2 linked regions of the Oryctolagus cuniculus genome follow. The protein of the gene in region 2 purifies or fractionates together with the protein of the main gene of each other region. This does not show direct contact. Links are inferred from orthologs where the notes say so. Each region holds a gene or a part of one and is shown on either strand. Other genes may lie near its edges.

The links.
Region 1: the proteins of RPS6KA3 (region 2) and FGFR2 purify together in Homo sapiens (affinity purification with mass spectrometry; 3 studies listed by BioGRID and IntAct, counting the BioPlex papers as one, with this or other methods). This does not show direct contact. The link is inferred for Oryctolagus cuniculus from reciprocal best matches to the Homo sapiens genes RPS6KA3 and FGFR2.

Annotation. Positions count from the first base shown.
Region 1 is NC_091446.1:9,299,307-9,305,444, reverse strand, and holds the start of FGFR2 (fibroblast growth factor receptor 2), read right to left. Parts: upstream 3,924-6,138; 5' UTR 3,439-3,923; intron 1,989-3,438; exon of another isoform or gene 1,708-1,988; intron 1-1,707. UniProt on the Homo sapiens protein: Tyrosine-protein kinase that acts as a cell-surface receptor for fibroblast growth factors and plays an essential role in the regulation of cell proliferation, differentiation, migration and apoptosis, and in the regulation of embryonic development.
Region 2 is NC_091453.1:6,229,915-6,235,507, forward strand, and holds part of RPS6KA3 (ribosomal protein S6 kinase alpha-3), read right to left. Parts: intron 5,573-5,593; coding exon 5,470-5,572; intron 5,069-5,469; coding exon 4,944-5,068; intron 2,093-4,943; coding exon 1,967-2,092; intron 1-1,966. UniProt on the Homo sapiens protein: Serine/threonine-protein kinase that acts downstream of ERK (MAPK1/ERK2 and MAPK3/ERK1) signaling and mediates mitogenic and stress-induced activation of the transcription factors CREB1, ETV1/ER81 and NR4A1/NUR77, regulates translation through RPS6 and EIF4B phosphorylation, and mediates cellular proliferation, survival, and differentiation by modulating mTOR signaling and repressing pro-apoptotic function of BAD and DAPK1.

The sequences.
Region 1 (6,138 bases), on a different chromosome or scaffold from region 2:
TCTCGGCCTCTCCACGGTGTGCAAACGGAGCTCTTTCTCATGATCTGCCAAAAATACAAAACAAAACAAACAAACAAACAAACAAAAAAACCAAGTGCTTCCACAGGCCCGCTCCACAAACTACGCGAGGCCAAGCTTTGCAAAGGCATCCTTTGGAGAAATACAGTAAAAGGAGCCACAGGACTCAGCCAGGCGCGGCCACTTCAGTCAGGCAGAGTACGTTCTCTTCCACCATCCACCGTCGCCTCTGCCACCCTCAAAGCAGGGACGGCGCGACCTCAGTGCCAGGGGCACCCCAAAAGCAGTCCCCCGGCGCTCAGCCTCGTTAAGCGCTTCCCGCCGTTCCGGAAGCTGACCAACCACCGCCGGCGTCTGCTCGCAGCCCAGGGGTTTGTTCCACTCCCTCTGTGGTGCTCCGGAAGACAGGGATCCCAGGAAGCTTACAGAGAAATCCCCACCAGGTTCCACTTGTCAGGACTCATTTTCAAACGCAGAAGTGGATTTCAATCCCTCGCCAGAAGACGGAACAGAATCGGAACACAGTCGAAGCGGCTATCCAAAAAGGGGGGGCAAGACCAGAAGTCCCCTGCACCGACCAAACGGCAGCGGACGGCTAAACGTCTCCAACCTCAGCAGAGGGGTGGAGAAGCGCAGACTCGGATGAATAATGCAAGAGTTTATTAATGATGATGATGATGTGTGAATTACGCTGACATGCTGGCTCGGCCAATAACCTATTTATTTCTATTTATTTTAAATTTGTCTTTGACACAGAGACAAGAGAAAGACACAGAGAAAGACAGGGAAGGAGCTCCCACTGGCTGCTTCACTCCCCCAGATATCCACAAAGCCTGCGGAAGCCAGGAGCCAGGAATGGAATCCAGGTCTCCCACGTGGATGGCGGGAACCCAGTTACTTGAGCCATCACCACTGCCTCCCGGGGTCTGCCCTAGCAGGAAGCCGGAGTCCGAAGCCTGAGGCTGGTACCCAGCCCAGGTACCGGGATGTGGCACACAGGAGTCTCAATCTATCTATTCTGTTCACCCAACGGATACCAGGCAGGGACTTTTCCCAGGAAGTTTAAAATATTCCTAATAACTTTAAACTCATTCATGTCGTCAGTGACAGAGAATTTGATTCAAACAGTCCCACAAAATGATACCCCAAGTTCAGGCTTCAGACCCCATGAACCACACTTCCTAAGGCTGGGGGGGGGGGGCAGGCAGGAGCGAGAACTTTAATACAAAAATCTCTAACCCGGGCTTGCTGCGTGCCAACTTGATGTTTCAAATTATGCTGAGGAGATTTCCACACCGCTGGCACCTCCCTAAAGGTCTACCATAAAAATTGTTCCTTCCAGTCCTGGGGTTCAAGTGGGTGCAAGTGAAGAGGTTCCCAGAGCAGGGATAAGGAAAGCACAGGTGACAGGCTGCCATCCACAGCAAAGGCAGGAGGAGAGCGCGTTGTGCACGTGTCCGTGTGCGCCTGTGCAGCTCCAGGGACTTCCCTAACTTCTCTTCCCCTTCAAGTCAAGAGCCTTCAGACAGGCTGTGTGTATCCCTACAGCCATGTGGGAGGGGAGCACAGAGCATTCCTGTGCATCTACAGAATGCAGGGGAATTTTCCGCCTCTAACGCTTCAGGAGCAATCTCACATCCCGCAGCGCAAGGACTGACCCCAGGCTGCTCCCCCGGCCGCTCCACCCACCTGCACAGCCAAGAAAGGAGGACAGTGGCCAGTGCCCGCGGCAGACCCCAGGGAAAACCTGAATTTCCGTCAGTCTCCAGGTTCAGGCCCCGCGGCGGTCCTCCGCCCCAGCTCTTTGCGAGGCCCAGGCCCCCGGGGCGGCAGGTACTGGAGTGGACACCAGGCCCAGGCGACCCCCCGGGCAGGATAATGAGGTCCCGGGGCTCGGTGTTGGGAACACAGGCCCAGCATGCCGCTGGCGGCCACAAGCCCGGCTTCCGGCCTGCACAGCCATACTCCTTCCCGGGGTCTGAGCCTCAGCGAAAGCCTGTTTATTTTTCCCCTTGAAAGGGAACTCTCTGCTCAGCCCGCGCGCCGCTGGAGCTGTCACCCTCCCTCTGATGGATGGCTCTCGTCCACCGCCGCCGCCCCCCCAACCCCGGCACAAGTCTGCCCCCCCAAGACGCGAGCTGGGACTAGCGCAAAGAGCCCCGCGGGCGCCTGGCCCTGCTCCGGGAGCCACAGCTAACAGCCCCAAACCCCAAGCCCACGCGCCCCGAGAGGCCGATAGAGGGGCCACCTGCCCCTCCGCTCCTGGGCGGACTTCGCGCGGGAAAGTCAACAGCGCCAGGGCAGGGGCGCCTCCACCCCCAGCCCCCTTGCTCCAGGCCTCCCAACTTCACCCCAGAGCCGAGGAGGACAGGCGATCCGCCGGGGAGTCCAGCCTAGGGGAGCAAGTCCGCAACACGTGGAAATCCCAGCAAACGCGGCCCCAGACCCGCGCCGACTCCGCATCAGCGCCCGCAGCCCCGGGCGCACGCCCCCAAAGCCGCGGCCCGGGCGCTCCCCGCCGCCAACCCGCTCCACGGTCGCGCAGCTTCCCCGGCACGGCCTGGAATCTCCAGTTTTTCTCGCCCCTTCTCGGGGCGCTAAAGAGCTTGGGGAAATCTGCATTTTAATTGACATTCCAGGGAGCGGGAGAGGGGCGCCTGATTGCTTTTCTATTCAAACTAAACAGGCTTTTCAGATGAAAATGAGTTCGAGGCCGGGGGAAGATTTACGGGGATTTGGGACGCGGGGGACAATGGGGTTTTAAGCGTGGACAGCGCTTCACGCCCGCAGTGCAAGGGGTACCCCGAGGGGGAGGTCCCCCCAGGTGGGGAGCGAGGAGGCACCGTCCCGGGACCAGTTCGCGAGGCCCGGCGCCCTCGGCCGCGTCCCCGGCGCCGCCCGGTGCTGCAGGAATGGGCGCGCAGGTCGGGACTCGCCGCGCTGTCGACATCGGCGGCGGCGGAGCGGGCGGGCCGAGGGGGAAACGTCGGTCCAGGTCGCCCCCTAGCCCCAGGAGCGCCGAGCTCGCGCAAGGGCGCCCCGCACCGAAACCTGGGAACCCGAAAGACGGCCCCCGCAGGCGCCACCCCTCCGGGAGGTCGCCAGCCCCCCACCGCCGCCGCCGCCGCCGCCTCCAGAGGCTTCCTCCCGGGGAAGGCTTCCCTCCAGGACCTGGATGGGACGGGCACCCCGAAGATGCGCCTCCGGAGCCCCGGCCTGCGGGGGTGGCGCCCGCCCGACTTTGACAGCGAAGGGGTTGTCAGCGCCAGAGGCAGCGTCAGCACCTGGCGTGGGTGGTCCTCGGGTGCCAGCCCTCGGCTCGCACCCACCTCCCCAGCACCGACGCGGCCCGGGGCGCAGGACGCGGAGTGCCCCCTGCCCGCGCTCTCACTTCCCCGAAGCGCCCAGCGCGCCGATTACCTTGAATGGCAACGCTGCTCCGCGATCCGGGCAGTCCCCGCGCACGGCGCGGCTCGGGATGCGGCCGGAGACGCGCCCGGGAGAGCCTCCAAAGCCGAGCAAGAGGAGTCCCGGGGCGGAGGAGGGCGGTGGGCCCGGCCGGCGCGGAGGCTCCGCGGCTTCACGCGCACCGCAGGCTGCGGAGGCGCGCGGGCATCACGCCCGCCCGCTGCCCCTCGGGTCCGGGGAAGCGCGGTGAAGAAAGGGCTCGGCGTCCGCTCCGCCAAACTTCGCTCGCAAGTTGCAGGCGCCCGGAGAGCGCGCGCGAGCTGCGGCCTCGGGGCCCCCCGGTGCGCGCGGGCCGCCCGCCAGCCCGGAGAGCGGTGGCCGCGCCGGGCCTCGCACGCCGCAGGCAGCCCCCGGGCGCCCGAGCTTTGTGGCGGCCGCGCGCGCTCGCCGCTCGCCGCTCGCCCGCCGGTCCGCTCCGCTCCGCGCCCGCCCGCTCGGCTCTCCGCGGCGCTCTCCGCGGCCCCGCCGCCGCCGCCGCCGCCGCCTCCTCGCTGCGGGTCACGCCCCCGCTGAAACCCGAGCCGCTTCCTGGACGGCGGCGCCCGCTCTGCCAATCAGCGCCGCGCGCCCGGGCCGCCCCGCGCCGCGCGCGGCTCCCGACGCCTGCGAGGCGCCCGCGACGCCCGGCCCCGGTGGCCGCGGAGCGGTGCCGCCGAGGCCCCCGAATAAGGCCTGCTCCCGCGGCGCGCCCGGGCGAGCTGGCCCGCGGCCGGCCTCACGCTGGCTCCGGGCGGGATGGAAAGCCAGCGACACGAGGTGCTGCCCCTCCGAGGCACGGAAGCCTCGCCCGCACCGTGCGAGGCGGCGGAGCGCCTCTGCACCGTTTCTCTGGCCTTGCGCACAGAGGGCAGAGCCCTGGCCGGGAAGCTCCCGCGGAGCCCCGCGCCCCACTTCGGGAGAGGCGTGAGCGGGTCGGAGAGGTCACCCCGTTGGGCCGGGGTCACCCGGAGGACCCCGCAGAGCCTGCCCTGGAATCTGGCTCTTTTGAGAAAAGGCCCCAAGCAGCAGTAGCAACAGCAGCGGGCTGTTTCGTCACCCACGAGCATATTGGGTTAATAAACAGAAATGCGAAACTCTCAAGGCTGCCAGGAACAGCCTGACCCTAAGCAGACCCTAACCTGCCTCTGAATCTCAGATGCTTTGGCGGCACCAAGCTGTCACTGATTAAAGTCCGGGTTTTCTGTGTGCCCTTTCCGCTAGGCCGTGTCTGGGGATAATTTGTTTTTAAATCTACTTTCCCAGACAGCTCCTGAGCCATCTCAAGACCCTACAGATAAAACCCTTAATTATTTGTTCTTAGAAAAATGTCACCTAACCCAGAAGTCCCTGAAAAGCCTCTTGGGGGGGAAGGTGGACGGGGCAGGGAACAGCCGACCCCCACACACACACCCCGGGTGCACCCCACAGCCAGCGGGAAGATGTGTTTGTTGGCCAGGTGATGAGACAATCGGTTTCATTCAGCTGCAGCCTTGGAAACTTCTATGCAGATGGCTTCAAATCTGGGAGTGACAAATCCATCTACCTGCCTCAGGCCACAGCTGTGAAATTGTATTTGGGGAGGCTGACAGCAAAAACAAGAGCTGGGCAAGTCAAAGGATCTGTGTAGATGCTTGTTCGATGGGGCGTGCTGTTGGCAAAGTCCTCTGGCTGAGCTGGCCTGTCCCAGCCCGGCTTTGTCATTAGCAGGTGTCTCAGCCAGGTGACACCCAGCCTCTGCCCTTACAGGGGCCGCTCAAGCCAGAGATCCTGGGAGAGACCAGGGACCGTGGCCCAGCGTCTGTCTGAGCGGAGGCTGGCGCTGACGTCTTTATGTTCCCCACCGATGGGAAACAAGTGGCTCAGGACGAAGCCCGTGCCCAGGAAAGGCCACTGGCGCATTCTCACATAAATTACCCATGCAGGAAGCCGCTGTCCCCACCGGCCAGCCGTCGGTAGGGCCCGGCACTCTGAATGCAAACGAAGCCTGGCACAGAGAGTGACACAAGACGTGTACGCTCGTGTCCAGACGCAGCCTGCAGAATTGACTCTTTATGGAGGTGCAAAGACCAGTGCGTCAGAAGCGCCTCACTCCCATTAGGAGCACTCATTTCTGGGCCAGAGAAGCCCAGAGCCTGCACCAGCAAACTCCGCCGTTTTGGGAAAAGAAAAAGCATGTTTGGAATTTTTTCGAAAAAAATCAACTCTGTCATCATACTGAGGCTGCGAGTGACCTCAGACGGTCCGGTCCAGGAAAGCTGTCACACCAGCGAGGCTCTGAATGAGCGAATAATCTCTTGGTAGCTCGCTCTCGCTCTCGCTCTCTCTCTCCCTGTCTTCCCACTTCAAGCCGCTGGAACTGCTTTTGTCAATGACCTCGTGAATGGTGTCGCTAATCAGCCCATTAATGCGCTTCCCCAGCAGAGTGTGAATAGGTAAATAAGCCCCAGTCTGCGCAGTGCTGGGACCAGGGCAGCAAAGCCAGCGAGAACTAAAGGTGACAGTTGGAACTGCACCAGGAGCACCCGCACCAGGTCTCGCTGAAAGCCCCACCAGACAAGGCCACTTTCACAGTCCCTGCACCCCCTACGAGGCCCCTTTCTTCCCATTGTCCCCCTCGTTCAAAATGTCTTGAGTAGTCACCCTTTTCTCCCCCGAAGCCCTTGCGAACGATAC
Region 2 (5,593 bases):
GAAAACAAGAACACTCAGGGAGGTGCTATTTTTGGCAACATTTTCTGATCTGCTAATCTGAGGCTCAGAATACATTATCTTCATGACTTATGCTTGTGGGGTCCACATTTATAATAATTTCAATAGAATCCAGTTGTGTTGGGATTGGTTTTATGAATCTAATTTAAATCACAAGAATCTACAAATAGCTTGGAGGTATTCTGAAGGCTTTGGGAATACTGCTTCTGGTTTCTGTAATCCAAAGGGAGCCTAAGACGTTGCTGCTTTTTCAACGTGTTTATGGAAAAAGCACATAATAAAACTCGCCCACCAAGTATGTTATTCTTCTTCTCTCCTTTCATGTAAGCAATTTGGAAATTTCTATGTAATCTGGAGAAAAGAATAAGAGCACAGAAACTTAAATGTATTTCTATGATTCATCATTATATGTGGCAGAAAGCCTTATGGACAATGAAGACTTTCTAAAGTAATTACATCCAATTTTAGAGTAATAACAATGAATGTCACTCTCTCACTAACTAAACATGAGCTACCCATATTTATGAACTAGCCTTAAGGTTCCAGATAAGTTGAAATCTACAGAGAAGATTTGAATTGCTTGAGATGGGAAAGCAGAGGTTACTACCTTAAGAATTCAAAAGGCAGAGACTTGAATATACTATTTGTTCACTTATAGCTAATGGTCTAAATTCAAACTTTTTCACAGAGCTAGGTGTCTTGGTTTTTGGCTCTTTTAATTTCACCAGGTATCTCAAAACAGACATTCTGATGAGATACCTGATGAAATTGAAACAGCTAATAGTGATAAATTTTATGACAGTGGTTTTAATTCTTGTATTGGTTCACAGAGCCTTTTAGATATGAAGGTATGAGCTTTTTGTCAAAAAATATAAACATACACCAATTTGTTATACAGTTTTAGAAATTTTCTGACACCCTGACCAGAAAACGGGAACTTTCAAGTATAAAAGGGGTATTATTAAAAATCATGTGAAAAAGAATATCATGTCAGGGGATAAGTGCCTGAGTTCAAGTCCTGGCACTGCTCCCAATTTTGGCTTCTTTCTGATGCACACTGTGGGAGGCAATACATGATGGTTCCAGTGGTTGGGTCTCTGGCCCCCATTTGGGAGGCCTAGATTGAGTTCCTGGCTCTTGCCTTTGCCCTGGCTCATCTCCAGCAATGGTCAGCATTTGGGGAGTAAACCAGCAGCAGAGAACACTGTCTCTGTCTCTCTGACTGGTCAAATAAAAAGAAATTTTGGGGTTGGCGCTGTGGTATAGTGGGTAAAGCTTCCACCTGCAGTGCTGGCATCCTATATGGGCTCCAGTTCAAATTCAGGCTGCTCCTCTTCTGATCGTACTCTCTCCAACAGCCTAGGAAGGCAGTGGAGGATAGCTCAAGTGCTTGGGCCCCTGCACCTGCGTGGGAGACCTGGAGGAAGCTCCAGGCTCCTGGCTTTGGATCGACGCAGCCCTGACTGTTGTGGTCATTTAGGGAGTGAACCAGCAGATGGAAGATCTTTCTCTTTCTCTTTCTCTCTGCCTCTCTCTCTCTCTCTCTGCCTCTCTCTCTGCCTCTCTCTCTGCCTCTCTCTCTCTCTCTCTCTGCCTCTCTCTCTCTCTCTCTCTGCCTCTCTCTCTCTCTGCCTCTCTCTGACTTTCTCTCTCTGCCTCTCTCTCTCTGCCTCTCTGTAACTCTGCTTTTCAAATAAATAAATAAATCTTTACAAAAAAAAGAAATTATGTGAGGCATACTGGGTATATGGCTACTTCATTTTTAGGCTAGAAGGGGAATCCACGCTTCTAGATCTCTGAAGATCCCTAGTCAGATATTTAAATTTACATTGACTTTTTATAACAAAAGGTTTAACAACAATAACAAAAAAGAGTGTAGTTCTCAACTGGTACTTACATGCATGAGTAAGAACTGTGAGAGTTGTATTTTAAATGTAAAAACATTTACCTTCACTGCAAACTCCATGTTTGTGGCTTTATGTATACATCTCTTGCAAACAGAGTATGATCCAACTCCAATATCTTCTTTTACTTCATATCCATCAGTAAACTGGATACTGTTCCTGTGCAATTGCTGCAAATGAAATGATAAATTGATGAAGAGTTCCGTACTCTTTCTTTTTAGCATACTTGAAAATAGAGGAATATGTTACTGAGTATGCATTGCTGATATTAAGTTAAAATAGAAATGAGTATCAGTAAAAATAAATTATAGCACTAATTCTTTACAAGGGCACTTTTTAGTAAGTTTCTACAATAAAATATTCAGCAAAAAATATACATTTAAAACCACTTATTTTTTTTTTAAGATTTAGTTTTATTTGAAAGGCAGAGTTACAGAGAGGGGTGGGAGGGAGATCAATCTTCCATCTGCTGGGTCACTCCCCAAATGGATGAAAGGGCCAGGGCTGGGCCAGGCCAAAGCCAGGAGCCCAGAGTTCTTCCGGGTCTCCCACTTTGGTGCAGGGGCCCAAGCACTTGGGCCACATTCCTCTGCTTTCCCAGGTGCATTAGCAGGGAGCTGCAATTCGAAGTGGGGTAGCCAAGTCTCGAACAACTGCCCATATGGGATGGTAGCTACAGCTGGCAGCTTTATCCACTATGTCACAATGCCAGCCCCCAGAACGCTTATATTAAAAAGAAGAAACTGGCGGGGCTGGCACTGTGACGCCACGGGTTAATGCTCTGGCCTGAAGCGCTGGCATCCCATGTGGGTGATGGTTCAAGACCCAGCTGCTCCACTTCCAATCTGGCTCTCTTCTATGGCTTGGGAAAGCAGGAGAAGATGGCCCAAGTCCTTGGGCCCCTGCACCCATGTTGGAGACCCAGAAGAAGCTCCTGGCTTCGGATTGGCACAGCTCTGGCCACTGCAGCCAATTGGGGAGTGAACCAGCAGATGGAAGACACCTCTCCCTCCCCCCCCCTCTCTAACTCTGACTTTCGAATAAATAAATAAATCTTTAAAAGAAGAAGAAACTGCGGCTAGCATTGAGGCATAGTGGGTAAAGCTGATCCACTCTCAATCCAGCTCCCTGATAATGATCTGGTAAAAGCAGCAGAAGATGGCCCACCTCTTTGGGCCCCTGCCACCAACGAGGGAGATTCGCATGAAGTTCCTGGCTCCTGGCTTCAGCCTGGCCCAGCCCTAGCCATAACAGCCATCTGAGGAGTGAACCAGTGGACTGAAGATTTCCCTTTCTCTTTCAAATAGTAAATAAGTCTTTAAAAAAAATAAAGAAGAAATTGAATATGTACACCAGAAAAAGCAGAGTTACTTGATAAGGGGTCCATAGCTTTCTCTGTAATTTTGCCCAATTTGACTTCTGAAGCACCTTTGCAAATGAGAAGTCTAATGTCTCTGGTATAGAAGAAAAAGATTTAGGAGGATTCAGAATTAGAATATTTTCACTATTGTTTCAGACGTATCACTTACAGACTGTGTAACCTATTGAGGATTAAATACAAATGGTGTAACATCATTCTGGACTTTCTGTAGTCAGATTCCCTCTTTTCTTACCCTCAGATCACAGCTTTATGCAACTTCTGTTGAAGAAGCTATTCATGGGTTAGGGACAAACAGTAAAATTATTGGTTCCATAAGAGGCTGAGAAGAAAGTCATGCTGCCCTTAACTTTGCTGACATGAGACTCTCCAGACCTATGAGCTTTGTACAGGTTAAAACTTGAATTCTGGAGAATAGGTTTGTGGTTTCTATTTTAGGTATAGAAATTGTAATTTAAAAACTTTCCATATATTCATGTGCTTACTTGGTTAAAGGGACAGACTACTCATACTTCAACATGAGTTTTGCTTAACACTGAAGTTGGTTTTCTTGGATAGCAAAATGAATGTCTCACATACACAAAAAAAGATAAGAGCAAAAGCAACTTAATCATGAAAACACTAATGATATCTTAAAAACAATTCAATACTTCAAAAAATTGATGCCATTCCCTCTCTGATTAGAAAGATGAATTAAATTTATATTTCTATAGTATTGGAATGGGAAAAATCAATCTAGTAGACTGTAGTACTTGTGCTCCTATAGCATTATGTACCACTCCAGTCTCTTGTTATGCACTTACCCTTTCCCCACTGCCCATTCCCATCCATATACCTACAATCTGCCCCTATGGCCTATTACCTATTTTTTTTTTTTTTGCCAATTCTGATAAACAATAGGAAAACGAAACATGAGGTACTCAGCCACTTCTTCCTAATGACAGTGGGGGTTCCAAAGGAATGAAGATGCAAGACTATTATAAGGCATAAAGGAGCCAGGAGACCTTAATCCATCACAGCTGGACTAACAGAGTCAGAGGATAAAATAAACCAGGCCTGACAAACACTGAGGCACAGGAGGCAGAGAGGCAAGGCAGTGATGTTTATCTCTATTTTTGTAAAATTACACTTTCAAGTCACATAGATATCCAGGATTTTGGTTCATGTAACCTTATCAATGACATATGAAAGGAATTTCTAAGAGTAATATTAGGGGCCGGAGCTGTGGCATAGTGGATAAAACTGCCGCCTGCAGTCCCAACATCCCACATGGGTGTGCCGGTTTGAGTCCTGGCTGCTCCACTTCCGATCTAGCTCTCTGCAATGGCCTAGAAGAGGAGTGCAAAATGGCCCAAGTCCTTCGGCCCCTGCCCCTGCATGGGAGACCCGGAAGAAGCTCCTGGCTTTGGATTAGTGCAGCTCTGGCCATTGCGGCCATCTGGAGAGTGAACCAAAGGATGGAAGACCTTTCTCTCTCTTCCTCTTTGTAACTCTGACTTTCAAATAAATAAATAAATATTTTTTTAAAAAAGAGTAATATTGATACAAAGTGTATTTTAAGCTGTCCAGCTCATGAAATATATTTATACAATGAACTGTACCTCATAACATTTAAAATTTAAAATTATTAGACACGCACTCACCTGAACAATTGAATGTACACCAACTGTCTGCATTGCTTGGCTTTCATCGTCTGAGGTAATAGCAACAAAACTAAACCCCCGAAAGAGCTGGTGTGCATTAGCACTAGGTGGAATGCCAGGTGAATCTGAAAAGAGCAAAAAATTTTATGAAGATTCCTTTGAAAGGTAATTATATACCGACTGCAGTCCAGGATATCTCAGTACTGTATTGGATATGATCTGATCACTTATTGCCACAACAATTCTAACTTCGCTCCCTCAGGGACTAGAAAACAGCCAATTCATTTGAGGAATATAATAAATATTGTTACTGGGTTAATGGTATTCAAACATTAACCCTATCCCATCAAACTTCCTAGAATGAAGGAAATTGTCTTTATCTGTGCTGTCCAATATGGTAGCCACTATACACATGTCAATACTGAGCATTTCAAATATGCCTAGTGATCTTGGAAAACATTTTCTGATCAACAAGACAAACATGTATTCATTGTCTTATATTTGGGTTTTCATGTTTTCTCTTTACCTTTGGGAGTTTTTGCAGTAAATTCAGGATCAAAATAGAATGTATCTTCAGGCCTACCAGTTGCAGGTTTAAAAGGTGGATGAATTTCTCTCCTATATAGTTTCTGGAGAGAAAAGAGAGACTT